Linked DNA regions of Rattus norvegicus. Each later gene encodes a partner of the first gene's protein in a complex. Links are inferred from orthologs where the notes say so. Each region holds a gene or a part of one and is shown on either strand. Other genes may lie near its edges.

Region 1 (15,029 bases):
ACTTCCCGAATTGCTCAGACCAATACAGGGAAATCCTCCAGGGCACCGGGCCCTAATGAAACCTTTAGGACCAGCTGGAGTTCAAGTTAAAACTGGTTAGGGAACAAGAATGATGATGGTGTCTTGAGGGACAGAAGTCTTAGGTTATTCAGAGAAAGGAAAATAACTAAGTAGAGGGAAGGATGGGTACCTACACCAGCAGTGGAGAGACTCCATGCATGGTGGTGCCATTAGAGATCAGGGAGAGAAAAAAAAGCCTGATTGCTTAAGAGAGAGAAGGGGGGATAAGAAAGAAGGCAGGCACTCAGACTGGGCAAGCAGTGTTCTAAATAGGAGCAAAGAGAGGGAGCTAGAGTAAGTAGAATTAGCCCAGCCTGTTTTCCCTCTCCAAAGGGACAGGGAGGGGCAGAGACATTGGGGAACACCAGTCTTGGAATCCGCTTTCTAACTTCCTGTGCCTTCCTGGGGGAAAGGAATGCCAGCCTGGGTTTCCCTCCCTCTTCTGTTCACACTTCCCCAAGCTCAGTTTAAGATCAGGCTGAGAAGGCAGGGCCTAGACTGCCCAGAGCCTGAGTCACCACATAGTTGAGGTTCCTGTCACTCACAGTCTTGCCTCTGCTACACCCTATGCCCTCTGCCCGCCCCAGGACTTAGATTGCTGTAGCTGACCCTGCCCTGGGACTTGCTTCACTTCTAGGCTTCTTAGCACTGGGCTAAGTTCTTAGCAGCTCTGGGCTGCTAGAACCTTTGGAAGCTACCTACTCCCTGGCCTACAAAAGTTGCGTTCTGTATCCACTGTAATTACCACCATCTTCTGAGGGGAGCGTTCTCCTAGTTAAGAGCAAAGGTGACTCAGTATGTGGCCACAAGAAGTACGTGGGATAAGTCATTTCCCCTCTCTGGGCTCCAGTTCATTGACATGTGAGATAAAGAATGACTGGAGATGGTCTTACTGACAGCACAAGTGAGGTACATTCTGTAAGACTGAGTCAAAGAAATGGATACTTACTATTTGAAGAGAGTAGGATAAAAGGCGTGTGTTCACTACCTGTCCTAACAGTAGAAATGAATGGGGATGGGTGGGGCAGGGCCAGGCAGAGGCATTGCCCCCCTTAAGGAAGCCAACGCCCTCAGAACGTATGAGTCAAGTCACACATGGTGAAGGACTGGCTGCAAAGTGCATTATGGCTCTGCAGTTTGAGTCAGGGGAAATGAGGTTCTCCCTGATGACTGGCTAGGGTCCGGCTACGGCTACAACAAACACTCACTCTCCCTTACATCTACAAAGTTGTCAGTCCCACCTCAGCTCCCACTTCCTGTTCAGCTGCTTTCTACTCCTCCCATTTAACCTAGGCAACCCCTTTCCTTAGCCCTCAAACCCAGTCTTCCTTAGCCTCCGCCAGTTCCCTCATGCCCTGCCTGCCATGCTCCCAACTGCCACTAGCTCTGCCCATCCTCACTGTCCACCCCCAATGCTGGCAGAACCAGCCAGCTAATTGCAAAAGGGCTGAGCCAGCAAGAGGCCTTCACATGACAGCTGCTGCTGCTGCTGCTGCTGCTGCTGCTGCTGCTGCTGCTGCTGCTGCTGCTGCTGCTGCTGCTGCTGCTGCTGCTGCTGCTGCTGCTGCTGCTGCTGCTGCTGCAAGGGGATGGGACAGCTGGAAATAGAGGCACATTCCATGGAAGATCCCATCAGAAAATAGTCCAATAGCCTAACCACCTCAGCTCCTGGTCTGTGCAGTATCAGGGATGGGGAAGTAGCTTAGCTGGTAGAGTGCTTTCTTAGCACAAACGAAGCCCTGGGTTCAATCTCCAGCTTCATAGAAGCCAGGTTCAGGATCACACGCCTGTAATCCTAACACTAAGGTGAAAGAGAATAGAAGTACAAGGTCACTCTCTGCTCTATCACGTGTTCAAAAACCCTCAAACCCCCTCCCCCCCCCCCAAAAAAACACAATTACCGATAGGCTCCAAAGAATGGATATCCAAGATTAACCACTACTTAGGTACCCTAGGTATATTTCCTCTTGTGATTAAAGTGACTAGTGATGCTCTGCAGATGTCCCCTGGAGAAGGATCTCTACCCCAAGCCCTAGGCACTTGAGCACAGGACATCCCAGAACTCCACTAGAGTTAAGAGACAGCCTACTCTGGGATCCATGCCAGCCTGATTTAGTGCACACAGACAGGAGCAGGTGGTAGCTTCTCTTTCAGGGGCATCAATATTTCAGTGGCACAGCATTAGGGGAAGGGAGTAGAGTGGGTACCCTTAACTACATTCATCCACACAGAGGATCAGAACAAACTGGAATATTATACCTTTGACCTCCCACTTTGAGAGCCTGGGCAGGCTACGGCCTCCCGACACAAGCCATCTGATATATATGGAGGGATGTTCTAAGGAGTGCTAGCTGTCACAGAAACTATTCATTTCAGGGTGGGGCCCTCAAGACACTCTTCAACACACACACTTGCATCTTTCAAAGGGGGAAGTGGCACATTTAGGGCATGTAGGCAGCTGGTGGGTTGACTCCAACCCAGGGAGAACAGCAGCTGTCCCGATCTAATTCAAAGTAGGACATGAATGGAAGAAAAAAAAAGATAATCTAGGTCTATCTTCACAGAATTTTAAAGAATCTTTACTTTTTAACAAGCGTTTTATGCAGAGTTGCCAACAAAGCTAACTAAGAGCTGCTTCTGACTAGTGTCCACTGGCTTATCTGCAAGCTAAACCAAGGCTCTGCATTCCCATTCACACTCTAGACTCAGGCAACTGCAACTCTAGGCCCCGACCCCGCTCTAGTTTCCTGAGCTCTGAGATTCTGCGTTAAGTGGATACAATGGCCTCCTTCCACTAGCTTCCAAAGACCTCAGCCTGATCCATTCCCAATCTCCTCTCCCCTGACCCCTAACTTTTGCCGCCTGTTGTGGGCAGTGCTGCCAACTCTCGACAGTGGTTGGGAGCAGAGAAGCTCCCTGGCACCAGAGCAGTAACAGGCTCATGCTTGTATCTGTGGCTGATGGTAGAAAGGACTAGGCTCTGACAAGATGCCTCCAGTCCAAACTGAGATGGGGGAAGGCCAGGCTGGCAGTGTGGTGACTCAGACCTCCCCAGGGCAGGGTGGAACCAAACTAACCCCAGATGTGCTTCCCCTTTCTGCACAAGGCCACCCCCACCCCAGCCCCCACCCCTTAGAAACTCCTGTTAACTCTTTCCTAGGGGCCCAATCCCAAAGCCTTCCTTCCATAAGCTCTTCTCAGATCTACAACCCGTGTGCACTGGCCACCCTTCACCCTGCAGCAAAGCAAGCCGCCAGGGTCAGAAGCCTGAAGCAGGATGTACAGATGAGTCACCCTGCCTGCAGGCTCAGAGAGGAAAGGGAGCTGAGGTGAGGGTCTCTGCCCACCTCCAGGCCAGATTATGTAGGCTGCTTGGCAGACTGCTGCCCAAACACTGGTCCACCCTGAAGAACTATCCTTTAACAGTCAGGCCTCCGGGCCTGCCTACCTACCCTTTATGCAGCACACAAGATGGTCTTTTTACAATCCTGTTATTGGAAAAATGAAAAGGACACCAAAAAGTAGTGGAGATTGTACAAGAAAAGTAGGGGGGGGGGTAAGAAACAGAATTTAGGAGTCTGACAGGTTCAGTGAGGCCCCAGCAACACCCAACACCAGCATCTAGTACTGAGAATGCCTGAGGCCAAACTGCACAGGAGTAAGGATCAACCCACCTTTGCTATTTGGATTCTAAACTACAACTCCCACTCCCACTAACCCATCCACTCTTAAAAAACAAACAAACAAACAAACAAACAAACAAACACCAACAGCAGGTTCCAGGTTCCAGCTTCGCAGTAGTCTTATCCCTTAGTAAGGTCATTCTTCTTCCTCCCAAGACCCTTCTCCTAGGCCTGGACTAAGGGATGGGTAAGAAAACAAACACAAAATCCTGTACCAGATGGAGGTCAACTTTCTGCAAATACTAGTTTCTAACTCGTTTGCTTTTTGTTCTCAAGTAGCCCAGGCTGGCCTCTACTTCTTAAAGGGTGGGTGGCACCAAACCTAAACGTTTTTAGAGACGGGAGTTTTACTGTGTAGCACTGATGGTTCTGGTAATACTGAAGATGGTTTAAATCTGAGGCAATCTAGCCTTGGCCCTGGTCTGCCATCAGGCCACAACTGATTTATGTAGTAAGTATAGGGGAATGACCACAGGGCAGCATGAATACCAGGCAAGCACTCTACCAACTGCGGGTCTACCCAGCCTAGGATCTAATCTCTAATGTGAGCTGTTAAAACTTGGGAACACCTAGATATGGAGGCGCATTCTTCTAACTCCAGTACTTGGAAAGCTGAAGAAGGAAGGGTCACTGTTAGCCTGGCCTGGCCTAGAAAGAGCCTGTATGGAGCAAAAAAACAAAAACAAAAACCAAAATTGTTGAAAGGTTGTATTAGGAAATAATCACAACTTGGTATTCCAGGCTTCAGGCCACACCTCCTGGATTCAGCAGCCAGATTCCACCTCAGATGTGTTTACCTAGAGCTACTGTGAACTGTCCCCAAGCTTCCCTGTTAGAAAGCATGGATACCAAGCACCCAAACCTATAATACTAACACTTGGGAGAGGCTGAAGCAGAGTCTTAAACCTGTAGCCCGCCTGGACTACACAATAAGAAATGTTTCAGAAACGAACTCTAAAGGCTACAAGATGGCTCAGCAGTTAACAGCACTTGCTCTTCCAGATGACCTGAGTTTGGTTCCTAGCACCTATACTGGGCAGCTCACAACTCCCTGTAACTCCAGCTCCAGGGGCTCCAATGCCCTCCCCTGGCCTCCAGGGTACCTGGACAATCATGCAGTACGTGCACACCGACAAAGGAAATGACTGGAGTGATCCACAGCCAGCCAAGGACTAACAAGCCAGCGCCTGCCCCAAGTGGCTGGTCTTCTAGAATGTTTGCAGCATTTAAGCTGGACAGTGACATCCAGCTACTCACCTACCTACCCTACAAGGCTTCTATGAGGAAATGAGACTTCCCTATCTATCTAACCATATTCTGTAGAGAACTTAACTGCACTGGACAGATGTAGGCCCTATGACAATACAGCACCATTTACACAAGGTTCTCCAGCATGAGGACTACATATTGGGTTACAGCAGAAACCCAACCCACACAGAGCAGCAGCTGTGATAGAAATGCCTCTGCATCCGTGAGCTCCCCTCAGCTCAGCGTGGTCAGCAGACACTTTCTTCAATGGTTAGTGTGAAACACAGCTTCTGAGAATTGGTCAACTGTGCCCATGCCACCACCCTGTGTTTCTCATCTTCCCCAGCTAGAACAGCATCATTGTAGGAAGCAGGGCAATAAAGACAAAACTAAGGCCAGGCCTCTACTTCTGCTCTTCTGAAAACTTCTGCCCGGCCACAGTGATGTCTCAGGCATAGGCAAAAACTTTGAGGAAGCCATCAGTCACAAAGGAGGCAGGACAGGAAAAAGTTCAATGTTCAGTTTCCTTTAATGACCCCCATCTCCCTTGAAGGATAGGTGCAGGCAGCTAGGTGACTGGCAAGACATGTTCACTTGAAGATCTTGCCTTGATTGACGGCTTTGCCAACGTGCTGGAAGGCCCCCTCCCAGGAAAAGTACTCTCGAACGAGGGTCTGGGTCTCCTCGCTACCAGGATCCAGTTTCCGCCATGTATATGACTCATAGTCCACCTGCCAATCTGGACTCAGCTGAAGGTTTAAAAAAAACCAATAACAAAACAGCACAGAAGCATGTGGTTAGACACTGGACACTGAGACACCATCTCTCTCCAAATTCTAGCTCAGACATGATGGCAGATGCCAGGATTCGCACTGATGTGAGCATACTTCCTATGTTCACACCCAGAATTCTTCCTTCATACTCACTGGCCACAGCTCAAGACTCCTAGTTTCCCATGTTATAGCCCACTCCCCCAGCACCATCCTTACCGGAAAGGCAAGATCTTGGCCTCGGAAGACCCAAACCCCAGAAATGGAGCTGCTGTTGTTGGTTCCAAACAGGATAACACTAGCAAAGGCATTCTTTCTCAGTTTGTCCAATCGCTGAAACATCCCTGGAGGGGAAAGGGGAGACTTGTCTAGTCTCTGGAATCATGTCACCACCACCTTGATCTTCTTCCTCCTAGATCCACCCCTCCTCTTCTCACCAGTGATGAGGTTACAGCTCATGAAGGTCTGGGTGAGCTCTTCAGGGAAGCGGTACTCAGCATACCACAGGGACCAGCCATCCTTATCAAAATGCTCCCAAAAATATGGCAGCGCCACAGAGAGGGTGTCCTCATTGGAGTACTTTCGCTTAAACTCATCCAACACAAAGGTACTAAAGAAAAGAGGAAACACAGGAGTCCATAAGAAGTCCTACTGAGACTGCAAAGCAGTTCTAGGCGGGTGGTGTTCACTTAGTTCCTGGTATGAAGGAAGTGGTCCCTGTAATGCAATGCAGTGACTGACACTTATAACAGCATGAGTGAAGAGAATGGGGGGCTACAGGTGGCGTGATATGAAGAGCTAAGACATTTCTGTCTACATGTCTTGACATGCATAGACTGACCCAGAGCATCTGGTGAGCCAAAGCCTTTTAATGTTGTAAAACTGAAACCAGCATTCTAACTATGATTTGTTCAAGGTTTATTGTTTTGTGGTTTTATACATTTTTTTAGAGCACTGGGTATTAAACTTGGAGGTTCACACATGCTTAGACAAAGTGTGTGACATTCTAGTTACACCACCAGTCCTAGCTTTTTGAGACAAGATCTTGTTATAGACCCTGTGAAAACCAAGACTCAAGCATGCCATGAACCCAGTAAGGACAGCTGGCTGCTGCCCCCAGGTGGTGGCTCAGAGCAAAGCAGTCTGTTTTTCTCTCTCTAGCCTCTCCAGGACTTTCACCAGGAGACACAAGTCAATGCTCAAAGTCTGAAACCCACCACACAGGCCTTCCATAGGCTGGAACCAGAATGCAAGCAGAAGATAGACACCTCAAATCTTTACACCTAAGTCCTCTAGTTCCTCTTTGTCCATTAACAAGTTTGCATACTGAAAAGCTCTTAGGTCCAGGTTATCTTCAAAATAACCTGATATTCAAGGTCAGCTGCCAAGAAAGCTAACCGGCACAGGAGGAATTCTGTCCCCATGGCTCCGGTCCTACTTTTTTCTTCTCTCCAATTATAAATTGGTTCTCAAGCATCTTTAGCTCCAGTTCCAGAGGATGTTACCCTCTATCCTCTACTGACCTCCTCTACCCTCTCCTGACCTCCTTGGGCATTAGGCATGCACACACTTGGTGCATATACAAACATGCAGACAAAACACTCATACACATAAAAATAAATCTATAGAAACTTAAAAAAAGGTCACTGACTGAAGAAAACCTATGATCTCAGTAAGTGGGATAACTACTCTCTCATGTCCTTTCCTTTGTGTTTCCATAGATGCAGCCTTGAGTCACTAAGTTTTGTGTGTAACAACTTAATACTACAACACACTAGGAATAATTCTTACTAGGTAAGTAGAGCATAATCCTAGCATGAGAAACTGAGTAACAAGGATCATAGGCTCAAAAACTGCCTGGGATGCTATGTGAAAAGAAACTTTCACAGCTAAGTAGTCTATACTGCAAGATTGTGCTGCGACCTACCACGACTGCTAAACAAAGTCAGTTAGATTCTTACAAGTGCAGGTGACGCGTGTGCCATACTCAGTGCCTGGGAGGGAAGAAACAGAGGATCAGAGTCCAAGGTCACCATCCTCAGACACATGCCAAGCGCCAAGGCCAGCTGGTTTAGAAAAGACCCTGACTCAAAAGCTATAGTTTAAGGATCCTGTTGTTTAACCCCATTCTCACAACTCCTGAGTTATATTGCTATCTTTCTCTCATTTCACAGCTGAGGTTAGATGGCAAAACTTGTCCAAGATTATTACTTCATAGCAAAGTCAGAAGTCTGCCCTTTAACCACAGGTCCCGAATTGGTCTCCAAATGTCCAGGAGGAAAGTCATCTGAGGAGCCAGAAAGCCTCAAATCATCCTCCTTCCAGCCAAAATGTATGACTAGAAACTTAAAAAAAAAAAATTTATTTACTTACTAAATATAAGTACACTGTAACTGTCTTCAGACACACCAGAAGAGGGCATCAGATCTCATTACAGATGGTTGTGAGCCACCATGTGGTGGCTGGGATTTGAACTCAGGACCTCTAGAAGAGCAGTCGGTGCTCTTAACCACTGAGCCATCTCTCCAGTCCTAGAAATTTCTTTAGACTCCAAGTTCCTCAAATAATGCAGATCAAGTATGGTCTGTATCTCAGCACAGGGACTATAACAAGATCTTGCCCCAAAGAGCTCGAACTTTGGTGTAACTAGATTGTATAGCACTTTGACTATGTCCCTAAGCATATGTGAGCCCCAACTGCAACTCCCTACACGCTATAAAACCACAAAACAATAAACACGACCAGAATGAAACCTTGAACAAGTCACAGTTAAATTGCTGGTTTCAATTTTGACATTAAAAAAAGCCTAAGGGATGTTGATAAAACGTTCTTTAATCCCAGCACTCAGAAGGCAGAAGCAGGCAAATCTGAATTTCAGGACAGCCACAGCTATCATAAGGGAAGGGAATTGTGGCAGCTCATGTCAGAAATCTAGAACCTGGGACTGAGACAAGGAAGCTCAGGAGTTAAGGTCACTCTTAGCTACACAGTTGAGACCAACCTTTGATACATTAGAATCTGTCCACAAAACAACCCAGGTCTAGAGAGATGGCTCAGAGGTTAAGAGCCCTGGCTGCGCTTCCAGAGGTCGAGTTCAATTCTCAGCAACCACATGGTGGCTCACAACCATCTGTAATGAGAGCTGATGCCCTCTTCTAGTGCTACAGTGTATTTATATATAATAAATAAATCTTTAAAAAGAAAAACAAACAAACAAACAACAACTCCCACAAACCAACCAACAGCAAACAAAAAGTCCTAAGGAAAAAACACTATCATTGTAACACAAAAAAAATAGACATTAAAAACCACCATGGGGGGGAGGGGGATGTTTGCCCGGAAACCGGGAAAGGGAATAACACTCGAAATGTATATAAGAAATACTCAAGTTAATAAAAAAAAAAAAAAAAAAAAACCACCATCAAAGGTACATAAGATGGTTCAGTGTGGGTCAAGATGCCTAATGACCTGACTTTGATCCCCATGATGAGACAACTGACCTCATTCAAATTGTCCTGACTTCCATACACATGAATGCTGTATCTCTATGGCTGGCAAGAACAGACACACTGACACATAAATTTAAAAATAAAATATTTGTAAGGAGAAAAGGCAGAAGAAGGAGCAAAGATGTTCAAAGATTTTGTTTTCTCTTTATTTCCTGTCCATAATATAAACCAACTTACTGTGTATAAGAAGTGTCTCCATTACAACAGCATATATTAGATACGCTAGATTTTTTTTTTGCCTTGTTAGAAAAAAAAAATCCCAAGAAGCTGAAAACATGGTTCAGTGTGTAAAGTGCTTACTATGCAAGCATGAGGAACTGAATTCAGCTCCTCAGCGCTTACACAAAAGCTGTACACAGTGGCTAACATGTTAGTCCCCAGAGCTAGAGCGGAGGGCTAGACGTAAGTGGATCCTGGGTGCTAGCAGCCAGCCCAGCAGAAACAGCACGCTCTAGATTCAACGAGATTTCAAAGGAAAAATAAAAGAGGGGAAAGCCATATAGGAAGACATCTCAGTTGACCTCTAGCCTCTACACATACACCCAGGGCACAAAGTCATACAAACAAATAAAAGGAACTTCCAGCAGGGTGCATTCCAAGATTTGAGGGGCAGAGGGAGGGGATCTCTGAGACCAGCTTGGTCTATGCAGAGTTCCAGGTCAACCAGTTACAGTGATACCCTGTCTTAAAAAAAAAAAAAAAAAGAAAGAAAACAAAAAAACCAAAGGGGAGCCAGGCAGTGATGACACACACCTTTAATGCAGGACAAGAGGCAGGGATGGATCTGAGAGTTAGGCCAGCCTGGTCTACAGAGTGAGTTTCAGGACAGCCAGGGATACACAGAAAAACCGTCTGGAAAACAAACAAACAAACCAAAACAAACCAAAGCAGTACTTCCCTATTGGTACATGCCTTTAGGTAGGCAAGATAACCAGTCAGAAACTCAAGGTCATCCTCCACCTCACAGCCTCTGAACCAGACCTGGACTGCATGAGACCTGGACTGCACTTGCACCATCAGTATTTCAACAGCCTGAAGTTGCAGCCCTAGACATGTGTGAGAACAAAGGTTGAGAACACCTTCCGACAGGTTTACCTCTTGGGCAGGTGAGCGAAAGGGTCCTTGGCCTTGGGCTCAGCAGCCAATGCCTGCTCACACTCATCCATCTCTTCCTCAGGAGCTGGGGCAGCTGCCTTTTTTTCCTCTTTCCGCTCAGTCTGGGGCTTCTGCTTCTCTTCTCGTGAGCCCTTTTCTTTCCTCGGGGTATCCTTTTTTGGCTGGCTCTCTGCGAACTTCTTAGCTTGTAAAGGAGGGAGGAAAGGAAATATGCAGCCTCTTTCTTTCCCCCGCCCCCGCAAACCAGGCAGCAAGCAGGGAAAGTGATGGCTCGGACAACCAAACACCCTCAAGGAGCAAAGCACACATCATCACAGCACTGCATCTTAATGTAATGTCAGTTACTGTGCGACACACTATGTTCTGTGGGTGAACAAAAAAGCCAAAGGCCACACAAATCATTCGGTCGACAGGAGCAAACTGGACCCTGACCCTATCCATGCCCAGTCTTCAGACTTACCATCAAACTGAGCCATCTTTTCACACAGCTTCACCTCCCCCAAGATGGCCCTGAACTGGGGCTGGTTAATGCAGGTAAGGAACCATCGGTTGGTATTGGGGAAGGCCTGGCGAAAAGAAGGCTCTAAGACCTGCCAGGACGGAACACAAAGAAAATCAACAATGGAAAGGCCACGAACAGAGTCACACCAGAGCACAAGGCCCTTACCTCAGGTCCACTTTCCTCTCCAGGCCCTGACATCAGAACCTTAAATGAGTACACTCCTGGAGGACTCCTTCCTTTCCAAAAAGTGCACCGTTTTTATGTGTATGAGTGTTCTGCCTACATTTACGTGTACAGAACATATGTGCAGTGTTCCCTGAGGCCACAAGACAGTGTTAGGATCCCTTGGAACTGAAGTTGCAGATGACTGTGAGCCATTATATGGGTGCTGGTAATTAGACCCTGGTCCTCTGAAGAGTGGCCAGAGCCCTTAACCCAGTGCCCTCAACCACTAACTGTTGAGCCATCTCTCCAGTCTCCTGTTTTTGTTTTCCTTGTCTCCATCCTGCTGTGCTGGGATTACAGCAGCTTTCTCCACTGTCTTTACAGCTCAGTCTAAAAGGATGGCTGTTCCCACTCCTTCATGCACCATTATGCTACTTAATGCTTTAATATTTTGCTCTTTCATCTACTCTTAATTTTTAAAATTTCATGCCAATAAAAATTTCAACAACAGTTGAAAAGGTCTGGTCTACAGAGAAACCTTGTCTCAAAAAATAAAAAAACAAACAAACAAAAAAGGTTGAAAAGGCTGTAATAGAGCCCATGTAGGAGCACCAGGCTAGGAATCTAGCTCAGTAGTAGAAAATGTGACCCAGCATCCACATGACACTGCGCTCCAACCCAGCACCCAAATGGGGTCGAGTGGGGTGACCACTACACTCACTTTGCTAAATAACCCTCAAAAAAAAAAAAAAAAAAAAAGACACCTCATGTGTGATGCTAATGGAACATAGAGCATGCTGGGTAAATCACTGGGCTCCACTCTCATTCCACACTGCAACCATAGCATTAATGACACAAGCAAACCCAAGACCAGATAGAGTAGCTCAGCAACACAGCATGTGCCCAGCAGACAGACAGAACAGCCCTTCAAGCCTTCACTGAAAAACTTACTATCCTCTCTGTATGTTTATTAGTGCTTTCCTTTCAAGTTGTCTGTGCGCAGTCACAAGACACTGGCTCCTCCCTGAGCTGCCACTTGTGTACTGGGAAATGAACACAGAACTCTGCCAAAGCAAGTACTCAAAGTGCTGAGCCATCGCTTCAGCCCCACACTAGCGTCTTTTAAAAAAAAAATCTCATTTTTTAATTTTTATGTATATAGGTGTCTTGCCTGTGCGTTTGTCTAAGCACCACATGCATTCCTAGCGCTCATGAGAGCCGGACAGGGCATCGGATCTTCTGGAAATGGAGTTAGAGTTGTGAGGAATCATGTGGGTGCTGAGAATCCACCAGAGTCCTCTGGAAGAGCAGCAAGCATTTCTAACTATTGACTCGTCATCCCTCCAGCCCCTGTCATCTTTTACTTTGCCAAAACAGGAGAGGGTAGGAGGGTAAATCTTGCCATGGAGGCAGATCCCAGATCCAGTCAGTCAGGGACTGCAAGCTCTGCAGTAATGGTCATCATCCCTGAGCACCCACTAGCTGTGTGTGAACATGAAGCACTGTAACGACCCTGGGAGGCACACGGTTGGTAAACAACAGCTCTCTTTTTTTGTTCTCGTTGGACTACAATTCTGAACCAGAATGGGTTCAGAGCTGCTGCCTGAAAATCTGTAATATTTAAAAATTAAGGGGCAAGGGATAGTTGGAGATGGTTACCTGGTTTGATTCGCAGCCCCCACAGTAGCTCACAAGTCAAGCTCCTTGGGATCAGCGTGCACATACATGCAAATGCACATAAACGGAAATCTCAAAAATGCTGGAAAAGCTAGGTCTAAGCCGAATATCACCTTGAATGTGTCACAGATAAGCAGAGCTATGAGGATTCCTGTCCCACTGCATCTGCAGTGAAGCCAGGACACAGACCTGAGTCTGCCTCCAAAGGCTGCTGAGTCACCGTCCCTGCCTCTCCCAGCTTCCATCTTGCTTTTTATTTCTGATATCACTACACAGCCTACAGTTATACCAGAGCAGTCCTCCTGTCTCAGCATCTCAAGTGCTGGGATGACAAATATAAGCCACCACATCCAGCCTTTCACCCATCTTCAATAAGATGAAAATACCCTGGGTTCGGTCCCCAGCTCCGAAAAAAAGAACCAAAAGAAAAAAAAAAAAAAAAAGATGAAAACAGTCACAGTTCTCAATGCTGGGATTCCTACAGCCATTAACTGGTCTGTCCTAAGTGGAACCGGGTACCCCAGTACAGGTCTACCCCTGTCAAATGGGACACAAACCTTACCTGTTTATAGAGCCACAATAGGGTACAGACAACCGTGATGTCAGCCAGTGTTACTCTCTCACCAACCAGAAAAGTCCGTGTCTTCAGATGAGTGTCCAGCAGCCCCAAGATTCGCTTCACCTCCTCTTTGGCATTTTCAGTGGCCTGTTGTTTTGAATACTCAAACTTAGTGGACAGCAAGTCCCTTTCCTCATATCCACCTACCAACAGAACTAAAGAAGCCATTTCATCAGCACTGACTCAACCCCCACCCTGTTATCATTAGACTCTGGGGTCAGTTGAAATCTATCAGAAATGAATCTCGTGCTAAGTTTCTTCATGGTCAGTATGACTTTATTTCCACCATACTGATGGTAACCACTTCAGTCTTTGCACTGCCCACACAACTCCTGGTGTCTTTTCCTTCTTCTACTTCCCAGCCCCAATACGTAGTCTCTGACCCCAACTCTGCCCCAGCTTCTCTCCCCAAGTTCTGAAGCGTACCTGCTTGTTGTGGTGCATAATGCCTAAGGTGGGGAACACCCAGGTGCTGGCTGGAGGGACGATGTCACTGTCAGCAAAGCTCACCCACTGCACCACTTGCGCTGCTGCCTCTGGTGTACTTCCCCGTAGCTCCTCATTGCTTACTGCAAAGGGAGAACATGTAGCTTAGAACTTGAGATCACGTCAAAACCAGTGCAATCTCTGAATCCATCTTGTCCACTGCAACCACTTCTGCAGCCTTACCCCCAGACCCTCTCACTCCTGTATCCCCTCAAATTACCGTAATAGGCGATGGCATTGCTCTCAAATACGCAGAATCCGTCATCGCCCTCAAAGGCTGGAACCTAGGGAGAAAGTAGTGAAAAACACAAAAGTAAAACACAGGGATTTCTCGATAGTCAACTCTTGGGATTGAACTATGCTAAATAATGTTAAGACAGACACCTCTTGCTATGCAAACTCACGACATCTTAACTCAGAAATGAAAAATACTTAGTATCCCTTATATGAATTCACAATGGCTGGAATTCAAACATGGCTGAAACACGGTGCCCTATACCCTTAATCCCAGAACTCTTATCTGAAACCAGTCAGGGCTAGTTGAGACCCCACCCCAAAATAAACAAATTCAGATACAGATGTGGGACAAGCCCACAGCCTTATCCCCCAAAGCATAGGTGCAGTCCAGATTCAGCGTCTGCCCTCCTCCACGTTTAACTTAGGATATTTAGCTCTACTCAAGCCCTTCAGGATAAGAAACTCTCAAGACACACTTAATATTGGTGTACAGATAACACCTGGTAAAAATAATTTCTATCCCACAAACATACAGCAGGTCTGTAATTCTTGACAGTCACTCAACAGCTGTGACTATCCCTTCATAAATACCCACCTCCAATGATTCTTTTTCTTTAGGGAGAATACATACTGTATAGGTTCACCTCACACAGTCTTCCTGCCTCAGGCTCCAGAGTACTGGGATTACCAGAAGCTTTCAAAATTACTTTTTTTCTTTGGACAGTCAAGTTCAGGGGCTTTCATAGCTTACATCCCTGGCCCCATGAGATTTTTAAGGAAAAAAAAAAAAAAAAAAAACAAATATACTGCGGAGGCCATCTCCAGAATAACGGGACTCTAGGGATTCCTGCTGTTCTCCTACTCACCTTGCCCGCAGGAAATTTTCTGAGAAATTCGGGGGTGCGGTTGGTTTGGCCGAAGTGGAAGTGGGGTGGTGCGGAGAGCACGCGGATCTGA
Region 2 (15,683 bases), on another chromosome or scaffold:
CAGTGAACTTTTCAACAGTTTCTTCCTGTCTCAATTACTGAAATCCAGGCATGCCTTTAATCCCAGTTCTTGGGAGGCAGAGGCAGGTGGATCTCTGTGAGTTCTGGGCTTCCCTGGTCTACAAATTGAGTTCTGTTACAGTCAGGGCTGTTAAATAGAGAAACCCTGTCTTGAAGAAATGAAAAATAAACAAAACAAAATAAACGAAAGCCAAAGCAAACAATCACAAAGAAAATTACAGTCACCTCCAGTCACCTTCCTTTGCTCTACCCTCTCATTTTCTATCTCTTTACTGTCATTTAACACAGTACATAATTTTTTAAAACTTATTATTTTATGTTTTACTAAAAAAACAAAACCAAAAACAACCCTCAAAAGGTTCATTGAGATGGCTCAGCAGGTTAAGGGATCGATGTTTAGCCTGGTGAACTGAATTTGATCCCTGGGACCCACATCGTGCAAGGAAAGATCTGTTCCTCCTGAAATTTGTCCTGTGACCTCTATATGTATGCCATGGCATGCAGACCAACACACTAATAAGATGTAATTTACAGCTGCTCATTTTTTTTAACTACATCTCTGCTAGAATCTAACATTTGGGGAGGGGGTGTGCGTCTCATTTAGTACTGGATCTGGAGAATGGTTGCTGATGTGTGTGTGAGGAAGGAGGATCTCCAGGATGAAGGCAGCCTGGCAAACATGCACACAGCTTAGGAAGGAAAGAAAAGGAAAAAGAGAGGAAAGGACTGCAGAGGAAGAAAGGATAGAAAGGGCTCTGGCCAAACATTCACAAGGTCCCAGGTTCCGTCCCCAGACCCACATACACCAGACATGACAGGGCATGCCTATAACCCACTACTCAGGCGGTTGAGACAAGATTGCTGCTTTTGAGGTCAGCCTGGGCTACATACATAGTGAGTTCACAACAAGCCTAAGAGAGCCAAACATTAAACAAACAAACAAACACCCCCACAAAACCTGAGATTGAACACTCAACACAGGAAATTTGATCCAATGTAAAATTGATTAATTTTTGTTGTGTTGTAAGGCTCGAAGTGAGTCTTAACTACCGGGAAACCTCCCAGCCTCCAAGTGAGACACAAGAATGGGGTTTGATGCAAACGCAAGAGGTTTAATTTCCAGTGTGTCAGGGTCGACCTTCAATCAGCTCCTCATGGCGAGTGACTGGAAGGCAACCCTGAATGGCTATAGCAAACAGGTTTTATACTTTTTGAGGTACAGGTTACATCAGCAATGTTTCAGTTTAAACTTACATGACATTCCTTCGAGCTCTATCTGGGACAAGAGGGTCAGGTGACTGTCAGTCAGTACATTCTGCGGATTTTCAAGAATGTCCTGTCCCTGCTCCTCCCGAGAACTTTGGGTGGAGAATGGAACTTGGCATAGCCTTGACCTGAGGCAGGAAGGTGGTACTTGGCCTAATCTTGACCTGAGGTGGTGGGTGTAAAGCTGGCGAAAGCCCTTAGGGTCCTCATAACCTACCTACTTCCTACCAGGCCAAGCCTCCTAATAGCTCTTATGTTTCAGTAAAAACTAGAGTCCTTCAGTGTGCATGTGTTTTTTCAAGACAGGGTTTCTCTATGTAGTCTGGGCTGTCCTGGAACTGACTCTGTAAACCAGGTTGGTCTTAAACTCATAGAGATCCACTTGCCTCTGCCTCCTGAGTGCTGAGATTAGAGATGTATGCTACTACTGTCTAGCTACTTTTCGTCATAATTACAAAAAAAAAATTTCAAGTTAATTCAAAGGAAAGAAGTTGATGTGAAAATTATATGGTTATGCTGACATTTACTCCAAAAGATATCTTTTATTTAGGTGTGATGGCTTATCCCCATCTCTGACCATTTGGAAGACTGAGGCAGGAGAATTGCTGTGAGGCGTAAGCCAATCTAGACTGTACAGTGGGATACAAAGCCATCTACGAGCCCTACAGCGTGATAGCCTATTCCAAGAAGAGGAAGAAAGGCAACACCAGAAACTCAATGTCAAAATACAACAAAAGTAAAGCTATCTTCTAACTGAAAAACCATTTAGCTATATTGATATAGAACTCTGATTGCTGTATTTGCAATCCCATCATCCTTAGGGTTGGGCTCTTAGCCCTTAGAGTGTCTGCTTGGCCTATTCAAGGCCCCTAATTTAATTCCTAACATGACAAAAAAAAATATCCTGGGCCTAAAATACATTCTGGTCAAAATCTTCAGTCTTACTGGTATCTTGGAAAAGGAAGGATCCAGAATGTATTTTTTCTCAAGCTAGAGCTTAAGAAGTCAGGACTACGATTACGGATCTGGAACTCACCACTGTGCAGGTATCCATCTGTTTCCCTTAGCATCTGATATAAACTAACGCATACTAGGAGCCTAATAAATGCCTGCTGAGTGTCAAGATTCTTTCAATGCACCATAATGGGCTACAAGTATTAAGGGCAGAGGACTTGACCTGTACAGTAGATCATTTTCCACGTAACAATTACTGAATCACAGATGAACTCTCAAAACCTTTGAGCCAGTGTGTGTAATCTGTGAGCCTGGGACTTAGACATCTGTAGTATAAACACAAGCCCTTCCAAAAAGAACCCATGTCTTAGTCATAAAATGTTGTACTTTTCAATTTATGTCTTGCATTCATCAAACTTAATTCTTAAGCTTTTCTTTTTCCTTTAAACATTATTTTTCCAGATTTCCTCACTCTCCACCTATAAGATCATCATGGAAGTCTCAAGGGAAATGCTATTTGAAGAACTGGACAACTACTCCTATGCCTTAGAATATTACTCCCAGGAACCTGACGCAGAGGAGAATGTGTACCCGGGAATCGTTCACTGGATCTCCCTGCTCTTATATGCCCTTGCGTTTGTTCTGGGAATTCCAGGGAATGCCATCGTCATTTGGTTCATGGGATTCAAGTGGAAGAAGACGGTCACCACTCTTTGGTTTCTCAATCTGGCCATTGCAGACTTCGTCTTTGTTCTCTTCCTGCCTCTGTATATTTCCTATGTGGCACTGAGTTTCCACTGGCCCTTTGGCCGATGGCTCTGCAAGCTTAATTCCTTCATTGCCCAACTGAACATGTTTTCCAGTGTATTCTTCTTGACAGTGATTAGCCTGGACCGCTACATTCACTTGATCCACCCTGGCTTGTCTCATCCGCACCGGACCCTGAAGAACTCACTGCTTGTTGTTCTATTTGTCTGGCTGTTGGCTTCTCTGCTCGGAGGTCCTACCCTGTACTTCCGGGACACCGTGGAGGTCAACAACCGCATTATTTGTTATAACAACTTCCAGGAGTATGAGCTCACCCTGATGAGACACCACGTTCTGACCTGGGTGAAGTTCCTTTTTGGCTACCTCTTGCCTTTGCTGACAATGAGCTCCTGCTACCTGTGCCTCATCTTCAAGACGAAGAAGCAAAACATTCTGATATCCAGTAAGCATCTCTGGATGATCCTGTCTGTGGTCATCGCCTTCATGGTTTGCTGGACTCCTTTTCACCTGTTCAGCATTTGGGAACTCAGCATTCATCACAACAGCTCTTTCCAGAACGTGCTGCAGGGCGGAATCCCTCTCTCTACTGGCTTGGCCTTCCTCAACAGCTGCTTGAACCCCATCCTTTACGTTCTAATAAGCAAGAAGTTTCAAGCTCGATTCAGGGCCTCTGTTGCCGAGGTACTAAAGCGGTCACTGTGGGAGGCCAGTTGCTCTGGTACAGTGAGTGAACAACTCAGGAGTGCTGAAACCAAGAGCCTGTCTCTCCTAGAAACTGCCCAATGAGTATTTTGTGCCCAGAAAACCAGTGCAAAGTTTCTGTGGGAGCCTCATAACCAATCCTTTCAGATTAGGATTTGTTCCGATCTAAAATGATTGTATTTTTGTTCGGTTACGTTTTTGCGTGGGTATAAAAGGCAGGATCTCTTCCTTGCAATTTAAATCATGTATCTTTCTGCCTGCCCTCTGGTGGCAATTCTGATACTGACACCCTAAAAGTTTCCCCCACTCTTTTAGCCTTCGTCTATTAATGTACGCAATATATGTATCAGATTAAATAATTTTTATAGTGTATACCACATCATATTAATCATCTCTGTTGAAAAACTATCAGGCTGACTTTTTTTCTGGTTTGCTTTTGAGTCATTTTGTGTGTATGTTAATGTATTTATAGATGTACATGTATGTAAACTGTAACTAAATCATTTTTCTCATGGAGACACTCTCTTTTTTTTTGAGACAGGGTTTTTCAGTTGTCTAGAGCTCACCAACCAGGCTAAAATAGCTAGCCAGCAAGTGCCAGAGATCTGCCTAGCTACACCTCAACGAGATTGCCAGTGCTTTCTCTAATGTGTGTTCCAGGAGTTGAACTCAGGTTGTCCTTGAATGCACTCTGGCTAAGGTGAGCCAGCTCCCCAGCTCCCTCATCATCACCTTTTCAGTCAAAAACAAAAAAACAAAAAAACCAAACAAACAAACAAAAAAAAAGCCAACCCTTTTGTTTGGGGTAAGGTCTCACTATGTAGGCTAGGCTGGACTCAAGCTTCCATAAACTATAAAGTATTAGTTGGCTATGGATTTAAAACTTCCATTCCTGTTAACTGTTTATTTAGTAAGTTGCTTAAAACAACAATTTATTGTTAGTATAGCTCAATTCTGAGTTTCTGGAATATAAACAAGACAGGGTGATTTGACCCTGCTTCTTATGCTTGGAGCTTCAGGTAGGTAATAATGCTAATGGCCTTATCTTGGAATACTTGGGCTAGTTAATCAGTAGATCTTGTCCTTCCTCTTGTAATTGCCCCATGACCTCTCCGGGGGTCACCAGACTTCCAGCTGCAAGCCGCAAGTGCTCTGCTATTGAGCCACATCCACAGTCCTCTTACAAGTTATGAATGTCATACACACAGCATTGTTTCCACCATATCAAATTGGCCAAAGCAAGACTAGGCTGGCTCAGAACGAAAGGAAGGGGACAGACTCTTTGCCCCTTTATGAAATATGTCTACAATTTTGTGTTCATTCTTAGTCCTCCAGAACATCATGATTATGGAAAATTCTAGCTAAGTACAAGTGTGTAGATTACTATAAACATGTTTCCAGATGGTATAGATGCTCTTCAGAGAGCATGCACTGACAGCACAATTCTATCTTGTTCTTTTGTTTACAGAGACACGAGAATAAGATGAATAAAATGTACCTTTGTCTGTTCTCCAGAAGCCCTAGAATACCAAGTGGTGCCCTCTGCCGGCTCTCGTGACTCTGACAGGGCCCCAGCCAGCTCTCTTGGTTCTGCTACGGCCCCCAGCCTGCTCTCATGCTTCTGACATGCTCTGCAGCAGGCTCTAACAGTTCTGCTCTAACCCTTTCTCTGCTTTCAGGCTTTTGACAATACTGCCCTCTGCTGGCCCTCATGATTCTAACCTGGAAAAAATTTCTACTACTTTAGGACGGGTCTGTTGAAGTATATTCTCCTTAGTACATGTTTTATTGAATCTATGTATGAACGTGAAGCTTCCCTCACTGAAGGTAGTCAACATAAAACCAGACTGAGAGCAAGAGTACTGTCTGACTGAAGTAACTGAATTATTCTTCTAGAGTCCTATCTATAAAATACAGAAAACTTTGTTTTTAAGACAATGTTTCTTTGTATACACAACTCTCATGGACTTTATAACTCAGGTTGGCCTTGAACCCACGAGTCTGCATTTTTCTTCCTCCTGAGTGTTGTGTTTAAAAATGTGCACTACCACCACCTGGCTCACAGAACACAAACCCCAAACTTTAAAAATTATGGTAAATACATTTAGTTACTGTATGTACCAAATTTTTAACACAAAGCTGAAATGCTGTGATGTACTTTTTTTTTAAAGATGTTTTATGTATGTATATGAGTGGTCTATCTACACCTGCCTGTCAGAAGAGGGCATCGGCTCCCATTACAGATGGTTGTGAGCCACCATGTGGTTGCTGGGGTTTGAACTCAGGACCTCTGGAAGAGCAGTCAGTGCTCATAACCGCTGAGCCATCTCTCCAGCCCCCCATGCTGTACTTCTTGAGCAGTATGATCTCCCACAAATGTTTCCAACAAGTAGCTTTTAGCACACTGCTTATCCCAGCACTTTCCTGCAGCTCTAGGTTCAGATTTCCAGATTCAATGGAAAGACCTCCACACTTGACCACCTTATAAACCTATACAATGTTCCTCTCAGGACATAACGCTATCTTTAGGGATTGAACCAAATGGTAAGCACCCTCGGAGTCAGCTTAGTGGCCCAAGATTCATTCTGCTTTTCAAAAAGGTATTGAACACATCGGGTGACAATTAATTGCTAATTTTTTTTCCCCCGGAGCTAAGGACCGAACCCAGGGCCTTGAGCTTGCTAAGGCCCACTGAGCTACCACTGAGCTAAATCCCCAACCCCGCTAAATTTTTAATAACACATTTTTTATCTTCTTTTTAGTTATATCTATGACACGATAGTGTTGGCTAAAAGGCAACTTCATGTTGGTCTGGATAACCATGGCCCAAGTGGTTTGAAATGCTGAGCAAAATTTCTCTTTCTAGCCCAAGTCCCCACCACTTCACCTTTTCTTCAAAACAAAGTATATCATTTCTCACAGCAAATGAAGAGTCAAGGGTTATCTTTCAAGCTTTTATTTAAGTGCACAGACTTAAGGATGATTTAGATTTTGTTAAAAGCAGCCACATCCATGGACTGTACATAGTCCTCAAAAGCAGTAATCTGCTCTTCCAGCATATCTGTTCCAACCTTATCATCTTCAACTACACACTGTATTTGAAGCTTTTTAATTCCGTATCCCACTGGAACCAATTTAGCTAAAAAAGATCAAGGGGTAAAAAAGTTAGGAAACTCTTTGTGATAGGAAAACTGAAGATGCCCAAATTCCAACCCCCAAACACAAGCATCACTTACAGGAGCCCCACACCAAGCCGTCCGCTTGAATGCTTCGGACACACTCCTCAAGTTTCGTCATGTCTGTCTCATCGTCCCAAGGCTTCACATCTAACAAGATGGAAGACTTCGCAACAACTGCAGGCTCTAAAAAAGGTGAAAAAATGAACGACACCTAAATACTCAACATTTTCACCATTAAGTCAAATCTGTTTGTTTTGAAACAGGCCACCTTCTTGCCAAAAACGTACACAACTCGCCTTGTGTCTGTCACGCATATTCCTCTTTCTATGTGGCTAAGAAAGAGGCATTAAATTGTGTAACAGTTTCTTTCCCACAGAGGAATGCTACAACTGCTACCATAAAGACAGCTGCAGACCAGTAGCTGTGGAAGATGTAAATAAAATATTGACCCATTCAATTTAACTGGGGGAAAACCCACTTTAAGGCCAAGCACTAGACAAAGGCATTCACATTACTAACAATGAAGATAAACCGTAAGTTACCCACTTTTAGCTTTCTTTGACTCATACTGAGCAAGGCGTTCTTCTCGTAGCCTCTTTGCGTCTTCACTTTCCTGTACAGAGAAAAAAACATTTCACAAAGTTGGTTATCTTCTGCTTAAATGTAGTGACAAGGTCATCACAAAAATGACTGGACATCAGAAAAAAGCAAATCCATCAGGAGCTCAGCCGAAAGATGGTGATTCGATTTTATTCATCATGTACCCAGTGATAAATTTTTAAAGGCAGACAATAAAGCCAAGGCAGGATCCATGTCCGGGCAGTGGCTACAGCACCAGTTAGTCATGCTGTAAAGACTGTCTGCCTTATCAATATACTTGTATAAAGAGAAAGGCATACCTCCTCATCATCAGATCCGAAGAGATCAATGTCATCATCGTCTTTAGCATCTGCTGCTCCACTTCCTGTGGTATCTGCCACACTGACAGGGCCATACTTGCCCAAAGATTTCTTCACTCCCGGCAAGCTTGAAAAACAAGCATTCTACAACATTAGGTTGGTGTCAAAGCTCTTTCTGGGCAAAACACACAATCTTCCTTTCCAGTAACTCACAATCTCTTCTGGTTACTTAACCTTAGCACAACCCCAGGTAAATGACCTGACTTTAAAGGAGACATAGTATTCAGTACTCAATGGTTTACTCTTCCAAAATGAACATCTGAATGAGATTCATTATATATCCCCACTTCCATTCTTTAGTTTTAGAAGAATGGCCAGGAATTAAATCAGCTACCCTCACAACCCAGTGGTGCCCCTCCCCCAGGTCAAAACACATTAATGAGGTGTGGGAAAATTGTAAACTGCAGCTGTCCATGTTCTACCTGTTCTGTGAGAAAATGGAGAACTTCAGTCTGTTGGCCTTAATTTAAGGTCACAAAGAAATTTGGTTTACACTAGGTCAACAATGCTAAAGCAACTTTAACCCCGGTCCTACTTTGCCATGCGAAAATCCAGGTAGCACAATGATACTTTTACCTGGCCTTTTCTTTTTCGTAAGATTTGATATGATTATACCAACGCAGAGCATGACACAGGTCAGCGGGTGGTGGACCAGAGATTGCTTCAAATACTGCCACATCGGCTTGTGATGGCACGTACCTGCAGGTAACACAAAAACAAGTACACGCACCTTTAAAAGAAAAGACACAAACACCTAACTGGTAAATGACACAGCCCATACCCGCCAAACTAACTACTAGTGGGAACTATTACAGGGCTAACCTAAATTGCTTCTAATCGGAAGTGCACAAAATATGTTTCAATCTGTACAAGCCAAGAATTCTCTACCACTTGGGAGAACTCAAAGGCTACCTCGGGCTTGCCACAGGTTTAAATTAACTAGTCAGAGGACGCGGAAGAACCGGCTGAACGTAGTTACACGGAGAGCAAGCATTATTTCAATTATTGCGCTGGCAGCCCCTCCAGGGAGGTCCTGCTCCAGTGGCATCCGAGACTCGGGAGACCTAACTCGGCTTCCCCTAGTTTCCGGCGACCCGCTTCCCTCCCGCCGAGCCCGCGCCACGTGGCCCCCGGGGCTCCCGGCTCACCCCTCAATGTAGCTCTTGTCCGCCAGGTAATCGTTGAGCACCTGGAGGCCGGCGGGGGTTTTCAGGTCTCCGAAACCCATGGCGTCGACTGTAACCGGGAGCGGAGGAAAAGAGCGCTAGAAGCCCGCGGCCAGCGCTGAGGGAGAAAAAGGGCCGGGACCGGCCGGAAAAGTCCTTATATAGAGACGGAGGCGTTTCCCTCCACTGCACCGGCTAGAGGTTAAAGGTCAAAGTACGTTACTAGTCTCGTTCCTTCACGTAAAACTGCGTCTTGTGAATTAGACGACCCACAGGTCGTCCGCGGGCTTTTCCTTGTGTTTGGAAGGAAATTAATAAAAGATGCATTTTAAAACGCCTACCTCCAAGGATTCTAAAACTAAAGGAAACGCCCCTTGAGGAGCCGGAGTTGAACGAAAGCATTCGGCCTCAAGGCCTCGGCTACTTCCGGCGGAACTGCAGGTCCAAGTTGTCTTCTCCGCTTTCTCCCGGCTCCCTCTCGTGCTGACGGAAATTGCCGAACAGGTCCAAAGAGGGGAGATTGTCGAATCTGGCTTTGTTGTCCCTCCTGGCTTTCCGTCCGCCAGGTCAGGCTGACGGAGTTAGCCGTGGCCGCCATATTGACTTAGCGGCTGGGTTTTGAGGGGTCAGGGGGATCCGGACAAATCAGCGGGACAACTTGGTGAGCTCTAGAGGAAAGGTGAGGACGCGTTTAAGAGAGAAAGTTGAAGTGCTTCGAGTGGTGTTTTCTTTCTTAGCAGGACTGTGTTCTTTAGGTCAAACAAGTCATTCTCCTCTTGTCCTTGACTGGGCACCACCTCCTGCCCCGCCACCTCCAGAACCCCGGAGAACCGGCAGGTGAAGGTTACTAGCCATAGTTTCTGGTCTGATGGAGCATAAGCAAGATGATCAGGAAACCTTTGGGAGTTCCGGCTTGCTAGCTACTTTCTCTCTGCAGGGGAAGACAGGAGATGGCCCTGTCTGGAGGAGACCGGGTCATTTCCCAGTGTCAGGAAAGACTTAAACATTAGGCGTCTCTTTAGTTGCTATCTTGAAACTGCCCACACTACTGTTTATTTTGTCCAGTTCATTGATGATGTTGGGTAGTATTTTATTCATTCCACTGACGGGGAGAATGACAAAAACTAAAAGCTCAGTCGGAGTTGGAGAGATAGCCAAGTGGTTAAGAGTGCCTTGTAGAGTAGATCCGAGTTCGGTTCCCACTGTCTCCGTCAGAAGGGGGACAACTGCCTTGTTACAGGGAATTTGCCACTCTTTTGGACTGTGAGCACCGGCACTTATAAATGCACATAACCACACAGAGACAAGCACATGCACACATAAATTAAAAGTGAATCTTAAAAAGTTAGCTCTGAGTCCCACTGCAAATCAGGAAGCTGCAGTGTTCTCAAGATTCATGTCTTAAGATGAAACAAAAATTTCTGGGAATCTCCTCCCCAGCCCCCACTGAGTTTTGCATCTTTGAATCTATTATTCTAAGCCAGAACATCAACGCCCTTTATTTTTATTAGTTACAGCCAAGATAGTAGAGATATGCCAGGGTGTGGTGGTGCTTATCTGTAATCCTAGACGGGGGAGGCTGGGACAGGATTGAATGGAGGAGTTTGTGCATGCTTAGGTAAGGACTCTACTGTTCCTATTTGATAGATACCATGTCTGAAATGCATATTCTGAAATGCATGCTGGTGAGATAGCTTAGTTGGTAACGATGCTTGCTAAGCCTGGCATCCATGAGTTAGGTCTCCAGGACCCACATTGATGGAAAGAGAGAACTGACTTTCAAAAGTTGCCTTTGACTTCCTCATGCGCCTGCCCCACCCCCTTGTGTGTATATGGTAACCTTCATCCAGTAAGTAAATGAATGTCAACAACAACAATAAAACATATACGAAGCTGAACATGGTGGTACATGTTGCTAATTCTGCCCCTTGCTTGGGAAGTGGAAGCCTGAAGTTTAGGAGTCCAAGTTGATCCTTGACTTCATAGCAAGTTTGAGGCCAGTCTGAGGTACATGAGATATATCTAAAAAAAAAAAAAAACAAAACCCACCAAAGTAAAAAAACCACAGCAAAACAACCTGTACAGTGCATAAGCCAGGTTATCCTCAGACTCTTTATGCAGTGCAGGCTGTTTTTGTGGGATGAGGTCCCATGTATATAGCTCAGACTGGCCTCAGACTCCTGATTCTCATGCTTTAGGCTCCCCAGTGCTGCAACCACAGGCATAGACTGCTGTGCGTAGCCTCATCAGTACCATTTAAAACAGAGATAGATAACTGCTCATTCTGGAATTTGGTGGCAAAACTACTTGGGGACTTGCTAGTCTTCAGAAAAGAGAAATAGCCAAATTTTTTGTCAAGGAACTTACAGTCCAGTAGCTAACAATATTGATGATTCACCTTCAGTTTAGTACTGTGGGTTTGTTTGTTGTTTGTACTACGGATATAGTCCAGTGCAGCCTAAAGGAAGTGGTCCTGCATTAAAGCTACCTGCTCTGTCCAACTCTAGTAAGTAGAATAATAAAATATATACATGGTGTGTTTTTAATAAGAAAAAGGGCCACAAACAAAGATCGCTGTACAACTGATTGTTAATAGCCATTACTGATTGCCTTGCTGTTTTTACTGCAATTTTTTTCTTTGTTTTTATTATTGACCTAGTAATAATACCCTAAGAAACAGTGTAGATTTGCTCTATAGGTAAAGAACCAATACCTAGTAGATAACAGACTCGGTATCTGCAAATTCAGTTTGTAAACTGTAGATTTCCATTTTTAAAGAATTAATTAAATAAATTAAATTATAAGCTAATGAAATATTTAATTATATATCATCTATAATAACTACAGACTTTAATGTTTAGGATTCTGTTTTATCTGAAGTGGTAGTACATGCTTTTAATTTCAGCACTTAAGAGGCAGAGGCCTGTAGGTGAATCTCTGTGTGTTTCAGGCCAGCCTGGTCTCTACACAGCTAAAAGCCAGTTGTAGTAGCACATGCCAGCGTATGTTCAAGAAGTATAGACAGGAGGATCATGAATTCAAGACCTGCCTAGGCTATACCTTTGGGACTGGAAAGATGACTGGGTGGTTAAGACTGTTCTTTTAGATCTGATTCCCTAAAATTACAGGGCAGCTCAGCAGCTGTCTGTATCTCCAATTCCAAGGGATCTGATAACCTCTCCTGGCCTCCTTGAGGTGAATAGACATACATGCAGACAAAACACATAACAAACACTTTTTTTAATTATTAAAAAGGAAAAAAATCTGTTTTTTGAACTATTTTCTATTAGTACTGCTACTGCTGTTGAGAAACATTTTTACTGTTTTTTTAATGTTGATATACTCATCACTTTTTTTTTTTACTATCTTTAAAAGGTAAAAACAAACAGAAAAACAACATATCTGTAATCCCAGAAATTTGTAGAAAAGGATTTTAGAGACTGTGCTGCATAGTTTTATGTCTATTTGACACAAGCTAACATCATCTGAGAGGAGGGAACCTCAATTAAGAAACTGCTTCCTTCTAGCCCTCACTTCCTTCAGTGATGGATGACAATGCTAACCTCTGAGTTATCTCTCTGGCCTTTCATTTAAATTATTTTTTAGTCTTGGTTATTGAACCTAGAGCTGTCTCACACTTGGTACCACTGAGCCACATTTCCATCCTTCACTTTACTTTCGATTTAAAAAAAAACTTTAAAATAATTTATTCTCTCTCTCTCCCTCTCTCTCCCTCTCTCTCCCTCTCTTCTCTCTCTCTCTCTCTCTCTCTCTCTCTCTCTCTCTCTCTCTCTCGCACACACACATACTCTCCCCCCCCCCTCTCTCTTTACTTTTGGAGACAGGGTTTTTGTAGCCCTGGCTGCTAGAACTCACTCTGTAGACCAGGCTGGCCTTGAACTCAGAGCTCCGCCACCCTCTGCATCCCAGGCACTGTGATTAAAGGTGTGCACCACCATGCCCAGCTTATTCTCTTTTCGTATATGAGTGCTTTGCCTGCTTGTATGTGTGTGCTCTGTGTGTGTTGGCACTTGCAGAGGACATCAGTAACAATTGTGGATGGTTGTGAGCCTTTGTTTGGGCCCTGGGAGCAGAAACCAGGTTTTCTGCAAGAGCAACATGTGCTCTTAAACTGCTGAGCCTCTCCAGTTAACCTTTTTATTTTTGAGTCAGGGTCTCACTAGATTATCCAGGTTAGTATTGAACTCACTCAAGGTCTAGGCAGTCTGGGAACATGGGATCCTGCTGCTTTAGTGTCCCAAGTAACTGAGATTAGGCCTCTAAAACACCCAAAGCAATGTAGAAGCATTGTTTTAAAACCTATTTTTATTAGCTTTTGGGAATTGGTACTGAAAGGAGGAAAATGCCAAGAGTTCATAGTGCGTTTAAGATAAAAGCATAACACAAGCAGATTGTAGAACTGTGAGAGAACAAAGATGCATCAAAGGCTTTTGACTTCTGAGCTACCTCGGAATATCTTAGGGTCATATATAAAATATATATCATGATATATATCATGAGAGAGTGCATACTGGACCTAGTCGTGGTAGCACCCAGGAAGCAGAAGCAGATTAATAATGAGATCTGTCTCAACAAAACAAAATCCCCAACGTACTGGTGGGAGATGAAGGCAGAAAGGTATTTTATGTATTTTAGATAGCTGTTAATGACAAAGAGTTATTCTTGCAACTTATTTTACTTTATTCTTAATTCTTTTTCTTGTATCTCTGCCTGACTTCAAACTTGCTGTAGCAGAAGATGTCCTTATACTTCTGATTCTGCCTCAACCTCCCAAATTCAGCGATTGCACACATATAATCTGGATTATGCTGTTCTGATATTAGAACCTAGAACTTCCTCAGTGCTAGGCAAACACTCTTATACCAACTGAGCTGTATTCCAAGCTCTTACCACTTTGTTCTGATTATATCAAAACCGCCCTTTACTTTGTATTACAGAGCCCAAGTTTAGTGCTGGAGATGTAGCTCAGCTGTACCTTACCTATCTATGCAAGGACCCAAAGTCTGCTATCTGCTAACTACTTCTCAGTTGTCTGATATTGATACTGTATTGCTAGTGTTTCTGGGACTGCATATTATATGTACAACTTGAGGGAAAACATTGAATCCGAATATTCTCCTAGAATAATGTATGTGAAACCATAAAATAGTACCAGGAATTTTATAAGTAGGTGGGTCTTTTTCTTCTACAAAATTAATCTTTGTTTTATTGCTTTTAGCCATCATGTTAAGGATACCTGTAAAAAGGGCCTTGATAGGCCTTTCTAAGTCTCCTAAAGGATATGGTAAGTTTTTGTTGTATATTCATGAAATTTTTTTAGAGATTTATTTATGTATATTAAAGTATACTGTAGCTGTCTTCAGACACACCAGAAGAGGGCATCAGATTCCATTACAGATTGTAATCCACCACGTGGTTGTTGGGAGTTGAACCCAGGACCTCTGGAAGAGCAGTCAGTGCTCTTAACTGCTGAGCCATCTCTCGAGTCCCATGAGTATTTTTGATTATCTTTATAAATGCAAAAACCAAACCTAACAACCATGTGTTTGATAGAGTTGAGTTAAAAAAGCTTTTATGCTTATTTAGTGCTTGAAAAGTTTGTGTCTTAGCCAAGCCTTTAATCCCAGCACTCAGAATGCAGAGACAGGTGGGTTTCTGAGTTCAAGGCCAGCCTGGTCTGGCTGGGTCTTTCCAGGACAGCCAGGGCTACAGAGAGAAACCCTGACTGGAAGAAACAAACAAAAATGAAAAACAAAATTTGCATCTGGAAAGAGAAGACTAGTAAAAAATGATAATTTTTTATATTTAGCTAATTCATTAAGCTCTTTGAATTCAACTCGGTTAATTTGTTTCTCACCTTATTGTTTTGATAACCAGTTCGATCAACTGGCACAGCAGCAAGTAACTTGATTGAAGTATTTGTTGATGGTCAGTCTGTCATGGTGGAACCAGGAACCACTGTCCTGCAGGTAATGACTTTTGTGAATCTGTGTGTTCCCTGATTTATATTTAAAAATTATTTCCTTCATACTGTTTAGTTTAAATATAGAAATGTGTCCTGCAAAGCAAGTAAGTGAAGGATAGTATGTTATTTCTCTAAATTTCTCCAGAAATAACAAATTTGGTCATAGGCAGATGATGCTTTATTTTGACTGTGGGTTAATTTTTTTTTCTCATTTCTGGACTGTGGCAGACATAGACAGACATGAAAGCACTGAATGTTAGAAAAAAAAATTCTAGGTACAATGGAAAGTATTTTGGATAGCTGGGGGTTGGTAGAGATGTCAGAGGTAAAACTAAATCCTAGCCAGCCGTAAGATGTGAGATGAGGCAGTAACTCGAAAGAGAAAGTAAGTCTAGGAATGAAGCCACTGGGACAGGTTGACAGGGGAGCTTTTGTGGACTGTGGACAAAGCAGATAATGGGAAAGACTCACCACAGACTGTGAGGACTTACCTAATTCGTTATGCATAAAGTGGAGGGATTTATGTCCTTTGAGGCAGCTGGCAGTTTGGAATGGAGCAAGAGTTCTTGAGGAACTTATAAGGAGGGGGTTAAGATAAGTGGGTAATGGGGCAGAAATAATAAAAGATGTCTTCATCCTTTATGTTTCAGTAAGAACAAGATCCAAGGAAATTATTCTAAAGC

What was found.
Region 2: the proteins of Eef1g (region 1) and Eef1b2 are in contact, whole or in part, in a crystal structure (PDB 5DQS), measured with the Homo sapiens proteins. The link is inferred for Rattus norvegicus from reciprocal best matches to the Homo sapiens genes EEF1G and EEF1B2. Residues at the interface, in NP_001395.1 of Homo sapiens: Leu146, Lys147, Thr148, Arg149, Thr150, Phe151, Glu155, Arg156, Pro185, Asn186, Arg189, Leu192, Thr193, Asn196, Gln197, Pro198; in NP_001032752.1 of Homo sapiens: Ala20, Asp21, Lys22, Ser23, Tyr24, Tyr28, Val29, Cys50, His51, Arg54, Asn57, His58, Ser61, Tyr62, Glu65.

The regions. Positions count from the first base shown.
Region 1 is NC_086019.1:215,290,894-215,305,922, reverse strand, and holds the end of Eef1g (elongation factor 1-gamma), read right to left. Parts: coding exon 14,939-15,029; intron 14,120-14,938; coding exon 14,056-14,119; intron 13,919-14,055; coding exon 13,776-13,918; intron 13,437-13,775; coding exon 13,293-13,436; intron 10,977-13,292; coding exon 10,847-10,976; intron 10,571-10,846; coding exon 10,366-10,570; intron 6,372-10,365; coding exon 6,199-6,371; intron 6,106-6,198; coding exon 5,981-6,105; intron 5,741-5,980; coding exon 5,582-5,740; 3' UTR 5,502-5,581; downstream 1-5,501. UniProt on the Homo sapiens protein: Probably plays a role in anchoring the complex to other cellular components.
Region 2 is NC_086027.1:72,067,559-72,083,241, reverse strand, and holds Eef1b2 (elongation factor 1-beta), read right to left. Parts: upstream 9,152-15,683; 5' UTR 9,077-9,151; coding exon 8,997-9,076; intron 8,548-8,996; coding exon 8,425-8,547; intron 7,916-8,424; coding exon 7,789-7,915; intron 7,658-7,788; exon of another isoform or gene 7,580-7,657; intron 7,503-7,579; coding exon 7,436-7,502; intron 7,319-7,435; exon of another isoform or gene 7,187-7,318; intron 7,073-7,186; coding exon 6,947-7,072; intron 6,850-6,946; coding exon 6,695-6,849; 3' UTR 6,651-6,694; downstream 1-6,650. Other genes in the region: Cmklr2 (chemerin-like receptor 2), read left to right, coding at 2,733-3,794; Ndufs1 (NADH-ubiquinone oxidoreductase 75 kDa subunit, mitochondrial precursor), read left to right, coding at 14,259-14,319, 14,913-15,004. UniProt on the Homo sapiens protein: Catalytic subunit of the guanine nucleotide exchange factor (GEF) (eEF1B subcomplex) of the eukaryotic elongation factor 1 complex (eEF1).